3 linked regions of the Mus musculus genome follow. The protein of the gene in region 1 interacts with the protein of each later gene in a biochemical or structural test. Links are inferred from orthologs where the notes say so. Each region holds a gene or a part of one and is shown on either strand. Other genes may lie near its edges.

Region 1 (4,221 bases):
GATTCTCCTGGGCCACTGGGGTGATGATGGGGTTGGTAGCCACAGAGGCCTGTATCTTCTCCATCAGGTTTGCCCACTGGCGATGCATGTCTTCCACTATTGGCTCGAACCAGCCCTTGAGGCGGGCCTGGAAGATCTCCGCCTGCAGGCGTATTTGCTGGGTCTGTTCCTCCATCTTGGAGCGCACCTCCTCCATGTGCTCACGCACCTCCTCTAGGCGGTCACGGGCCTGGTTGCCCACTTCCTCCAGCCGCCCTCGGATGCGGTCACCAAAAGCCTGGGCGCGATCGCGCAGAGGCTGGGCGGCCCCAGCGCCTAGGTTGGCAGTGCGCTGGCGACCTTGCTCCACCAGAGGCCCCAGGCGCTCACGGATGGCACTCACACCGCGCTCGGCGCCCTCGCGTGCCCCTGCCTTGTACACAGCTAGGCGCTTCTGCAGATCCTCGGCATCCCGCATCAAGCGCTTGCGCATCTTGCGCAGGTGTGTGGAGAGCCGCGCCCGTATCTCCTCTGTGCTCTGGCCCAGCATGGTGTGCACCTCGTTGCGGTACTGCCCGAGTCGGTTGCGTAGATCCTCCATGTCGGCTCCGAGTCGGGCCTGTGCCGCCTGCACCTCTTTGCCCAGCCTGGCCCGTGTCTCCTCCGCCACTGGACCCAGCTGTTCCTCCAGCTCCTTTTTGTAAGCCTTTACTTCCGTCATAGTGTCCTCCATCAGTGCCCTGCAGGCCCAGAGGAAACACAGGAAGGAGATGAAGGCAGGACAGAAGGGCCAGAAACCACAGAGCAAGAGGTGATGGTACTCGCTTGTGTTCCCAGAAGTTGAGAAGCTGCGGCATAAGAATTGCAGAGCCTTCGAAGCCAGCTTGAGTTACAGAATGGGATCCTGTCTCAAGAAGCCAAAAGCCAATCGACCAAGCAAGTAATAAATGTCTGTTCCTCCCAGCATCCAGAAGGCTAAAGAAGGCAGGAGGATTCAAGGCCAACCTGGGCTACACACTAATTGAGAAAGGAAACAAGAAGGGGCTGGGGACCCAGATAGGAGGCAACCCTGGATCAGCTGGTGCCTGCCGAGGGTGAAAGAGCTGGACACTCACGTCAGTTCTTGTGTGACTTGGGAGCTCTGCAGCTCTTCCTGGACCTGGTCAGACAGCGTCTGCACCCAGCGCAGGTAATCCCAGAAGCGGTTCAGGGCCTGCTCCCAGGGTTGGTTGCTTTGCCACTCGAGCTGATCTGTCACCTCCGGCTCTCCCTCGGCTAGGCATCCTGTGTAGAGTAAGTTTAAGGCTGGGTCAGGACCTACAGTCTTTTTGGGTCTCTTTGAAGTGGGTCTGGAGGCTGTGGAGTCTGTTTAGATACTACAAGCATGCACTGTCTTGTATCCTATGTAGTTCAGAGCCGAGACTAGGCAGGTGTGGAATTAGAAAATGTATACCCCACTTTTAAGAGCAACTAAGAAATCAACTTTTTATTGTGTGTGTGTGTGTGTGTGTGTGTGTGTGTGTGTGTACCCTTGGAGGTCAGAGTTCTAGAGGGAATTGGCTCTCTCCTTCCACTATGTTGGTCTCAGAGTTAAGTCTTCAAGCTTTATGATAAGCACCTTTACCCACTAAGCCATCAATCCTCTTATAGTTAGGGGAAATCAAGGCCTAAAGAGTATATAAAACAGCTGCTCAGGGCTATTGAATCTCAGAGAGGTCTCAGAACCGCCTCAGCCTCAACCCACCAGCAGAAGAGATCTAGGGCTAGAATAGAGTCCACAGAGGAGCAGAAAAAGCGGCACCACAGCAAGTCCTTGCTCCATACCTGTCAGCAATGTGACCAACAGCACGGCCCACAGAGCCTTCATCTTCGCAATTGTGATTGGCCAGTCTGCGGAGGGAAAAATTGTCTTTGAACACCAGGGGGCGGGGGTGGAGGGACTCCGGCCACCCAGAGAACCCCATCTTCCCTTCTCAGATCTGTGAGCCATCACAAACATCTCCAAAACAGAGCACCCGCTCTTCCCAAAGGTCTGTTTACCTCCCCTTGCCGAGTTCGCTATCTCGGCACCCCGGGGTGGATCCGCTGCCAAAAATTCCAGCTCCCTCTCCTAGGGTTCAAATTCCACTTCACAGAGGGCCAGCGGGTGGTCCAGCTTACATTCCTCTTTCTTCCCGGCTAAGTCCTGCTTTCCATTTTGTGTTAATTTAACACGATTTTTAATCGTCCTCCATCCCTGCGAAGTGGTACCCTCCCACAACTACAGAACTTAGGGAGCTCAGCCATGAGGAGCCACAGTTTGAAACCAGTCCGGGTTACTTGGGGACTGTGATGGAAATCAGTAGGTATTTATATAAAAGCAGCCTAAGGCTCATCCCGAGTTTTTTCGCCATAGGATGGTTCCTAGTTGAGCCGGTACGCCGTGCACCGACAGTCCCGTACTCCTTCCTGGAGGTAACCCCTCCACCTGCTCTGACTCTGGCAAAGGCTAGTTACCTCGAGTCCTTAGTTTGTCCCCCAAGACTTCTATCGTGCTGCCTGCTTTTCCAATTCTTGTGCCTGTTTCCTGGACTCCGGGGGATCTCAAGGTTCCCAGCCCACATCCTACCAAGGTCCCTGGGTGAATCCCCAGCCCAGCTTGTCTTACCAGCTCCTTCCGAAACAAGTCCTTAGCCTCCAGGGTCTGAGCAGGGGATCGGATCCCAGACCGGTCCAATTATAGGACTCCCCCTGTCCCGCCCCCTCCTCAGGGCTAGGGCGGGCTGTGCCAGCCCCCTGTCACGAGGCGGGTTGTTCTCTCCCCCTTCACAGCAGGGCAGAGGAAAGAGGTGGAGTTTGGATGCCTTGTGACCCCCCGCTCCCCTCCCCCGCCAACAAAGGGAGCGGACACCTCATTGAATAATCCAGGCCTTGGTACTGGGGCACTGAGAACCGCTCCTTCCCTTTCCCCGCGGGGTCTGGTGCATTGTAAAGAAAAGAGCTGGCAGCCTAAATGGAAATGGGTGGGTGGGGGCTAAGAGGCTCAGCTTCTGGGGTGAAGATCGTTGTTCTGGGATCCCTCGTTGTTGATTCCTCCACCACAGGTGAACTCTTTCCATTCCAAGGCTGGGACGTGCTCCAGTTCCTTCAGGAGCTGTTCAGTGGTGGCTCCCGATGGGTTTGAAGCCATACATTAAGCCAAGCCCTGGGAAACCAAGCGTTGATGCTCCTGATCTGTTTCTGGCGATTGCCAGATGTGTCACCTTGGGAGGGAAGAGCTACCCCTACAGAGCACATTTTAAAAAGTTGTTTTGAGATAAGATTCTCAGGCTGCCCTCTAACCCACAAAGGTCCTTCTGCCTCTGCTGTAGCATGCTGGGACTGCAGGTGTGCACCCCTGCATGTGCATTTTCCACTCTCAAGCCACTTCTCTTTTCTTTTTCCTCATAAAAGCAGAAGAGCAGGAGCTGGAGAGATGACTCAGAGGTTAGGAGCACTGACTGCATTTCACAGGACCTAGGTTCAAAATCGCAGCACCCACACAGCAGCTCACAACTGTAACACCAAGATCTGCTACCCTCACGAAGGCATACATGCAGGCAAAACACTAATGCACATAAAAAAAAAAAAAAAAAAAAAAAAAGACAAGCCATAAGTCATTCACTGGAACATGGGTCTATAGTGCTAGCCATATGCAAAGCTGAGGCAGGAAGATCCCGAGCTCAGGTAATAGAATGAAGTCCTGGCTAAAAAGTGGAAAAGCCAGCTGGGCGTGGTGGCACATGCCTTTAATCCCATAATCCCAGCACTTGGAGGCAGAGGCAGGTGAATTTCTGAGTTGGAGGCCAGCCTGGTCTACAAAGTGAGTTCCAGGACCGACAGGACTACACAGAGAAACCCTGTCTTGAAAAACAAAAAAAAACCCAACAACAACAAAACCCCCAAAAAGTGGGAAAGCCATTGTACCTGGGAAGTCAGGTAGGACAAGGGGCTCAGAGACCACAGCAAGCTTGCTAGAAGCACTGCCTGCACAAGGTTCCCTGTTCCCAGCTGTTGATGGCAGGAGAGAAGCCACATAGCAGTGTTTGGCACCAGACACGGCAAAACATGATTCTGCAGGATGGGCAGAGGCGGAACACCTGGCTCCAAGGGTACGTACAGGGTGCCTGGCCAGGCCCAGGCCTGTTAGCTTTGGCTTCAGAAAACACTGGCAAGGACTGGGTGTGGTGAGATGATTTTCATGGGTTGCTAAGGGCCAGCTCC
Region 2 (3,566 bases), on another chromosome or scaffold:
CCCCCCCCCCCCCCCCCCGTCCCTTACTCCCAGTTACTGGATGCTCAACTCTCTTCTGCCTCAAATGGCTAACCTATGGCTCTGTTCCCTTTAGGGTGAAATTCTTTCCTATACTTGTGTGATTGACATCTTCTCATGCTCCCTGGTCTGCATTAGTCTCGGAGTTCTGGGCAGGAAAGCCCCAAAACTTATTTTTTGAACAAGCGATCCCCTTTTCTAGGATGCACATCCCACGTTCCTTAGCTCATTGTGAGTGAACCCTGCCTGCCACTTTCCCCTTTCCTGCCGCCTTCCTTACATGGTGCTGAGAGCTGCATTACCCCCTCAGACTGTATGATTTGAGGGTGGCCTCACTGCGCTTTTCTAAGCCTTAGTTTCATCAGCTGTCAGTGAGGCTTGGATCTACTTCACAGGATGGGTGAGAAACCCAATGAAAAAATGTATCTGGAGTTCTGACATGCTAGCTAGCAAGTATGGTGTCTTAAGTAGTCTAGCGAAACCTAACCAGCATAAAGTAAGCATTTTCCAACTCTGGACATGCTACATATGACAAAAACAAAAACAAAAACAAAACAAAACAAAACAAAAGAAACCCATTGCCTTTTTTTAGATAGGCCCCTAGTAGTGATGGCAAAGCTACAGGAGAAAAGGACAGAAGATTGGAGGTTGGGAATTCTGATTTCCAGAGCTTGGAGGACATGTACCCCATGACAGAGTGGGGGGAACTCGGGCCTCTGTGCACTGCCTGGAGTTACTCCTGGTTCTGCCACTTTCTGCCTAGGATCTCGGGGAAGTTATTTAAATCCTGTGGCTCTCAGTTTTCTCAACTGTAAATGAAACTAATACTATCACCTCCAAAGGTAACTGTGAAGACTAAATGAGAAAGACATGACACACAGAAAGCAATGTCTGACACACTGTGCTTGCCAAATGTACTTTTGCTTACTCCATTTCTCTGCAACTAGCAGGAGCTTATCACACAGGACAGGGTTTCTCTGTGTATCCTGGTCCTGAAACTCCCTCTGTAGACCAGCAGGCCTTGAACTCAGATCTGCCTTATTAATCAGAGTTAAGTTCCCTGCATCATTTCCTTCCCTGGAAATGATGATTCTTTAGCCTAGACTGATTTGTAATTTACAAGATGCTCCTAAACGGTTTAACCTCAGGAAGCAGAGACTAGGGTTTCCACTCTCACCTCACTAGCAGAGGTAAGCAGACAAGACTGCAGGGCCGTGGGAACAGTGGGACAGAGCCATCTTCTCCCTCCAAGTTCTAGGCTTCCTGTGACCTCTGATCGCTAAAATTCTGTTTGCCTGCACTGGCCACGGTGACGGAGCCTCAGGACCATCTTCTGACCCTCACAGCACTGAACAACTTTGTTTCATACATCTCTCCTTTACAAACAGTTTGCTTCAAGAGCAGTTTGTCTGCCACGCATTCAGTAACATTATTCAGTAACATGCCGTTTCCTCTATCCCGATATCAAGCCTTCTAAAATCAGAAAGCCTGCTAGGATTTTCTATAGCTGCCTAGGTTTAAGGCCCTCACTCGCCAGCCCCTCAGGCTCAGAGTGGCACTGCCCTACCTTGCACTTGACGACAGGCAGCTCGGAAAGAGGGTTCTTCGGGAGTTGGTGAAGCTGTGACCTTGGTTCTCCCGGCAAGACAAAAAGCTCCTTGAGGGCAGGGGCTGGGTCTTCCAGGTCTCTGGTCTCCCCAAGACAGGGCTCTGCCCACAGTGGGCGATCATAGTTGCTGATTGCCTGACAGGGGGATGGACTGGATGACCTCTGAGGTCATACTCAGCCCCCTGACTCTGCTGTGCAACAACGACACCTGTTCTAACCGCTTCATAATCCTCGCTCCCCAACAAGCCACGCCCTCTCATGCCTCTTAGCCTTTCCACATGATTCTCTTTGGAATGTCAGCTCTATTCTTCCCTACCTGAAAATTACTATTTTTTTTTAATAAAGACACAGCTCGTGTGTTACTGGGAGTCATCCTATGCACTTGATCCCCAGACAAACCAGCAGCCCCATGGCTGTGCTTCTACACCATCCATCCTTCAGCATTTGTTAAAGCCAGCTGTGCTGTGCCAAGCCCAGGCAAAGAGACCACATCAGAGCCTGCCCTCAGGGACCCCACAGTCTAGTGGCCTAACTGCTAAGCAAAAGGTATGGGGATTGTGGATGGAGAGGCCCAGGAAACTGTGGGAGAAGAAAGCAAGCCTAGGAAGGCGTCCTAGGGTGATAGATTCTTCAGCTTCCACCCCATGGCACTGAGCATCTCTAACACCCCAGCAACGACTTGGGAAGCTGATGTCTAATGTGGGGTTTGGCATTTAACTGGCATTCAGAGCTTGTTGGAATTCAGCCAGTTACCCTTCTGCAGAAAGTCATTTGGCTGCTTAACTGCCAGGGAGACCCTGCAGGTAAAAGGAATCCTGACACTCTGCTCCTCCCACCGCCTGCTTCAGCATGGCTGTGTTCTCCCAGAGCCAAAACAGTGCCTGGTATGCAGGAGGTTCCTGATAACGTGGAAGGAAGGAAGGAAGGAAGGAAGGAAGGAAGGAAGGAGGGAGGGGGAGAGGGAAGGAGGGCGGGAAGGCGCTGTGGAGTACTTACTGCGGGGTAGACGTGGCCAATCTGAGCTGTCCTCCCTATGTGAAGCTCATCTTCCTCTTCCTCTTCTGTCGTTTTCCTGTACACTGGGTTGTCGAAATTCATGCTCTTGGTGTTCTTCCGCTTCCAGTTCCTCCAGATGAGGTACCCACTCATACATAGCAGGGCTATTACCACTGGAGGGAAGGCCACATCACACTGAACAACCAGGGGCTCCGGCCCAGCATCAACACCCATCTGCCCCCTCCCAGACCGTATAACCCCTTGCTTCCGGGCTCCATTTTGAGTCACCACTGTGTTTCTTTATGAATTCTTATCTGTTGTGACCTCTTTCCCAACTGCTCTGGGAAGACCCTGCCTCCCCCTTAGGTGTGTTCCCAGGCCACACGATTTTTAACTCTCTGTTCTCTCAATTGGACTGAGCTTTTGAGGGCTGTGCTAACTTTAAAAAAGTGATTTTTATCATTTTTATTTATGTGTATTTATGTGTATGTAGTATGTCTGTGTGTCTGTTGAGTGTATACATATGTACATGCATGTGCAGGTATGGGTTGGGACCAGGAAAAGGCATCCTATATCCTGGAACTAGTGTGACAGTTGGTTGTGAGCCAGTAGACATGGACAATGGGAAATAGACTCTGGTCTTTTAGGAGAACAGCCATCGTTCCTAACCACTGAGCCATCTCTCCAGCCCTGAGTGTTTGTTTATTCTCTGTGCTCATGTCTAATAGCTCAGCGACACTTGCTAAATGGCTGAGAAGTATTTGCCTACACCTGTACCCTAATGCTGCTGCTTTGCTGGAACTCTTAAGAAGGCCACCCTCCCTCCAAACTGCATGTCTTTCCAACTCTGAGGCCCCATCCAACAAAGAGAGTCTCTAGAAGAGGATATAGAAGGACAACACAGGTTTGAGTCAAAGACTTTAGGGCTGGTGAAAAATACCAA
Region 3 (3,566 bases), on another chromosome or scaffold:
TACACTGTGCCCAATCTTATCACAATTTGAGGTCTTTGCAATGAACTGATTCCTCTATTCCCAACCCCCACTCAGAGGAGACCTCCTCCCCGGTCCACATACAGCTGGCTCTAGCATGTTCCTGCTACTGTGAGGCACACCCTAAGCCCTCACTGGGGGCCTAGGCAGGTTCTACCACTGAGCTGTGCATGCCCCTGGTTTGGGCTTCCTCTCCTTCCACTCCACCTAACTTCTGTCCTTCACCTCATTTGATGTCTCATCTCTCCCACAAAGGGCACACTCACTGAGGGGTAGGTATAGCCATCCTGGCTTCGGCAAATGTGGAGCTCGTCCTCTGTGGTCTTCTGGTAGACTGGGTTGTCAAAGTTTATGCTGTTGATGTTCTTCAGCCGCCAGTTCCTCCACAGCAGGACGGCCCCAAGGACAAGGAGGGCAACCAGTGCTGTGGGGAGAGGGGCTTGGTCAGGGGCTCTCAGGAGACCCCGTGCCAGTGAAGCTACCGGCATGTCCATCCTGGCCCTTTCATGTGACAGCGATATGTTTTGAATGTAAAATTATACTCACCTATCATACAAAGAAAAAAACCAAGGGAGTGTGTGTTGGTATAGCATTCACTGGGAGTCTAACACTTCAGGGGAATGAGGCAGGAGGATGCTGACTTCTGAGCCAGCCTGGGCCCCATAGCCTGACCCTGGTTCTAACTTTTGAGATTCTCTGTCAACTTTGCTCTTTTTAATTAATTAATTTATTTATTGAGACAAGGTCTCACTGTGTAGTTCTGGCTGTCCTGAAACTCACTCTGTAGACCAGACTGGCCTCAAACTCCTGTCTCTGCTTCCTGGATGCTAAGATTCAAGGTATGAACCACCATGATTTTTTCACACAGGATCACAATTATTTTTTGAGAAAGAAATCCACTGTCTACCCCACTCCCTTGCCGGTCTAAAAGTCTGTATGTAGACCAGGCTGGCCCTGAGAAAACTCAAGTTGTGTTTCATCACCACCACCAGGGACACTCCACTCCATCTTATTTGTAATGAGTGAGAAGGGGGCAGTGATTCGAGGCAGGCAGGGGCATCCCTCAGGCAGGGGTATTCCATTTTTTGTCAGAAAGGTGACATGGCCAGGTTAGCACTGCAGGCAACACTTACCAATAGGGAAGAAGATGGACAGGAACCTCATACCATGTGGCTGCTCCTCATTCCCTCTGCCAGCCATGTCACCCTGGACTGCAAAAAGGGAAAGGATAAGGTGAGGAGGCTCAAAGACATCAGAGAGGGGACAGGGCAGGACATGTCTAACACCATGTTAAAGTTCAGGGGAACCTGGGAATGTTACTAAGGTCCCTACAAAGTCATGTGGACTTAGTCTGTAGGCAGCTGGCCTCCAGTGTACACAGGGGACAGTTCTAGGATCCCTAGAGATGCCAGACATTTGCACAGAAACTGTACCCACATAGACACTTAACACAGCAAGATGGCTCAGAGAGTAACGAAGCTTGCTGCCAAGCTTGCTAACCTGAGTTTGATCCTAAGCCCCGCATGGAAGGAGGACAGAACATACTGTCACAAGCTGTGTCTGACCCCACAGGCAGAGTGGCCAATTCCCCAAACCCACAAATACATCACATCACTGTAATTAAAAAATGCAGTACTTATGAAATGAAGGCTGGGCCTGGCCGGTACCTTGGTGGGACACTGTCACTGACGCCACTGTGCTGAGCCCTGGGGTGTCCACAGGCTGCCTAGGAGTACTGGGAGCTGAGAGATCCTCACTGTGCTTCGGTGGCCTGGTAGCTGATGCGGTGACCACAGGCCGGACGGCGGATGTCCCCTGGGTGGTCAGTACAGTGTCGACTTCTGATGGGACAATAAACATGACCTGAGGGCCAGGGGCCGGGTGCCACACTGACACCTCTGCTCTGGGTGGAACGCAGGCCACCAAATTCCATGGCATCAGAAATTGAGCAAACTAAATGGGTAAATAGCTGGTGACACTGTCCCTTGTGTCATTCCTGAGGATTATTCCAGGGGGACCTCAAACTTGTCATCCCTCTGCCCCAGTCTCCAGAGTGTTGGTGTCCTGTTCTTACAATAGGACCTGCAAATGGTGAGTGCACTTTGGTCCCTGAGATCAGCGTGACCCCAAAAATCTATGTTGGAAACCTAACCACCAAATTCTTACTGAGGAGAGATTTAAAAAAAAAAAAAAAACTTTGTTGTTTGTTTGTTTTTGAGACACAGTCACACTATGTAGCCCTGGCTGTCCCTGGAACTCACAATATAGACCAGGCTGGCCTCAGACTCAGAGATATGCCTGCCAGAGTGCTGGGGATTTAAGGTCATGTGGCCGTCACAGCAGAGTCTGGTATTTCGTTTTCTCCTTCTATCAAGTGGGCTCTCCGGGATCAAATGCAGGTAGGCACCTTTCTTCAGGAGCTTCTCCGTGGCCCCTCGTGGGTAGGATGCCTGGCAGTGAAACCTTACAGAGGTGACTAAGAGTGAATGAGGTGAGCCGGGCAGTGGTCCCAGCACTTCAGAGGATCTCTAAGTGCAAGGCCAGCCTGGTCTACAGAGCAAGTTCCAGGACAGCCAAGGCTACGAAGAGTAACACTGTCTTAAAAAACACAACAGGCCGGGCAGTGGTGGCGCACACACGCCCAGCACTCAGGCAGAGGCAGGCAGATTTCTGAGTTCGAGGCCAGCTTGGTCTATACAGTGAGTTCCAGGACAGCCAGAGCTACACAGAGAAACCCTGTCTCAAAAGATGCGCCCCCCCCCAAAAAAAAAGTCCTTTAAGTAAATGAATAAATAAAATGAGAATATTTGCTCTGAGTCACTGTGTGACACCCTCCCCTATGTCTACCAGATGCTAAGACCTCTCGTATCCAAACCCAAGAGCTACATGAACTATGCTTTATAAAGTATCCAGTCTCAGGGAATCTGCTTCAGCAACAGGACACAGACAGAGACAACTTCAAACTGAGCCCTTCTCAGATGACATCAGCAAAAAGGGGTCTTCTTACCAGATACCCTGGTCTGAAGTCAGACAACGTCCACACAGAGCTTAGAGACAACTAGAACCCCTAAGAGTAATTTCATTTGAGACAGGCAGAGAACCTCACTCATGAGTCTCCAGACAGCTGGACATCTGGTCAGCCTCTGCAGGCTCATGCGGGTCCACCTCTGGGGACTTGTGCCCCTACCTGTGAGGCAGCTCCGCATGTCCTTGGCCAGCAGCATGCCATCAGGGCAGGCGCAGGTGAATTTGGGCGAGTGGGGACCGATCTGTGGGGCGGGCAGGCACAGGTACTGGCAACCACCATTGGGGAGGAGGGCTGTTGTCTCACACCAGTTCACCCCTGGGAGGAAGAGAAGTTCATGGAGAATAAACTGACAACATTTGATGACGGGCAGAGTCAAGAAAAATGGCTGACAATTTTATTATTGGGTACAGGAAGCGCATTGAACCCATCTTCAGAGTAAGCCAGAAGAATCTAAAAAGTTCTGGGACAGGGCCGAGCTTACCTCTAGGCTGTGTGACCTTGTGGAACAGGACAATGTCCT

What was found. The genes of interacting proteins can lie anywhere in the genome.
Region 2: the proteins of Apoe (region 1) and Lrp8 form a complex in vitro, tested with the Homo sapiens proteins (2 studies listed by BioGRID). The link is inferred for Mus musculus from reciprocal best matches to the Homo sapiens genes APOE and LRP8.
Region 3: the proteins of Apoe (region 1) and Ldlr interact in a biophysical measurement, tested with the Homo sapiens proteins (2 studies listed by IntAct). The link is inferred for Mus musculus from reciprocal best matches to the Homo sapiens genes APOE and LDLR.

Annotation. Positions count from the first base shown.
Region 1 is NC_000073.6:19,696,385-19,700,605, forward strand, and holds the start of Apoe (apolipoprotein E precursor), read right to left. Parts: upstream 2,805-4,221; 5' UTR 2,627-2,804; intron 2,238-2,626; exon of another isoform or gene 2,140-2,237; intron 2,090-2,139; exon of another isoform or gene 2,020-2,089; intron 2,015-2,019; exon of another isoform or gene 1,870-2,014; 5' UTR 1,847-1,869; coding exon 1,804-1,846; intron 1,264-1,803; coding exon 1,095-1,263; intron 720-1,094; coding exon 1-719. UniProt on the Homo sapiens protein: APOE is an apolipoprotein, a protein associating with lipid particles, that mainly functions in lipoprotein-mediated lipid transport between organs via the plasma and interstitial fluids.
Region 2 is NC_000070.6:107,868,208-107,871,773, reverse strand, and holds part of Lrp8 (low-density lipoprotein receptor-related protein 8 isoform a precursor), read right to left. Parts: intron 2,797-3,566; coding exon 2,624-2,796; intron 1,763-2,623; coding exon 1,586-1,762; intron 1-1,585. UniProt on the Homo sapiens protein: Cell surface receptor for Reelin (RELN) and apolipoprotein E (apoE)-containing ligands. LRP8 participates in transmitting the extracellular Reelin signal to intracellular signaling processes, by binding to DAB1 on its cytoplasmic tail.
Region 3 is NC_000075.6:21,744,025-21,747,590, reverse strand, and holds part of Ldlr (low-density lipoprotein receptor isoform 1 precursor), read right to left. Parts: coding exon 3,528-3,566; intron 3,362-3,527; coding exon 3,206-3,361; intron 1,860-3,205; coding exon 1,686-1,859; intron 1,230-1,685; coding exon 1,152-1,229; intron 443-1,151; coding exon 285-442; intron 1-284.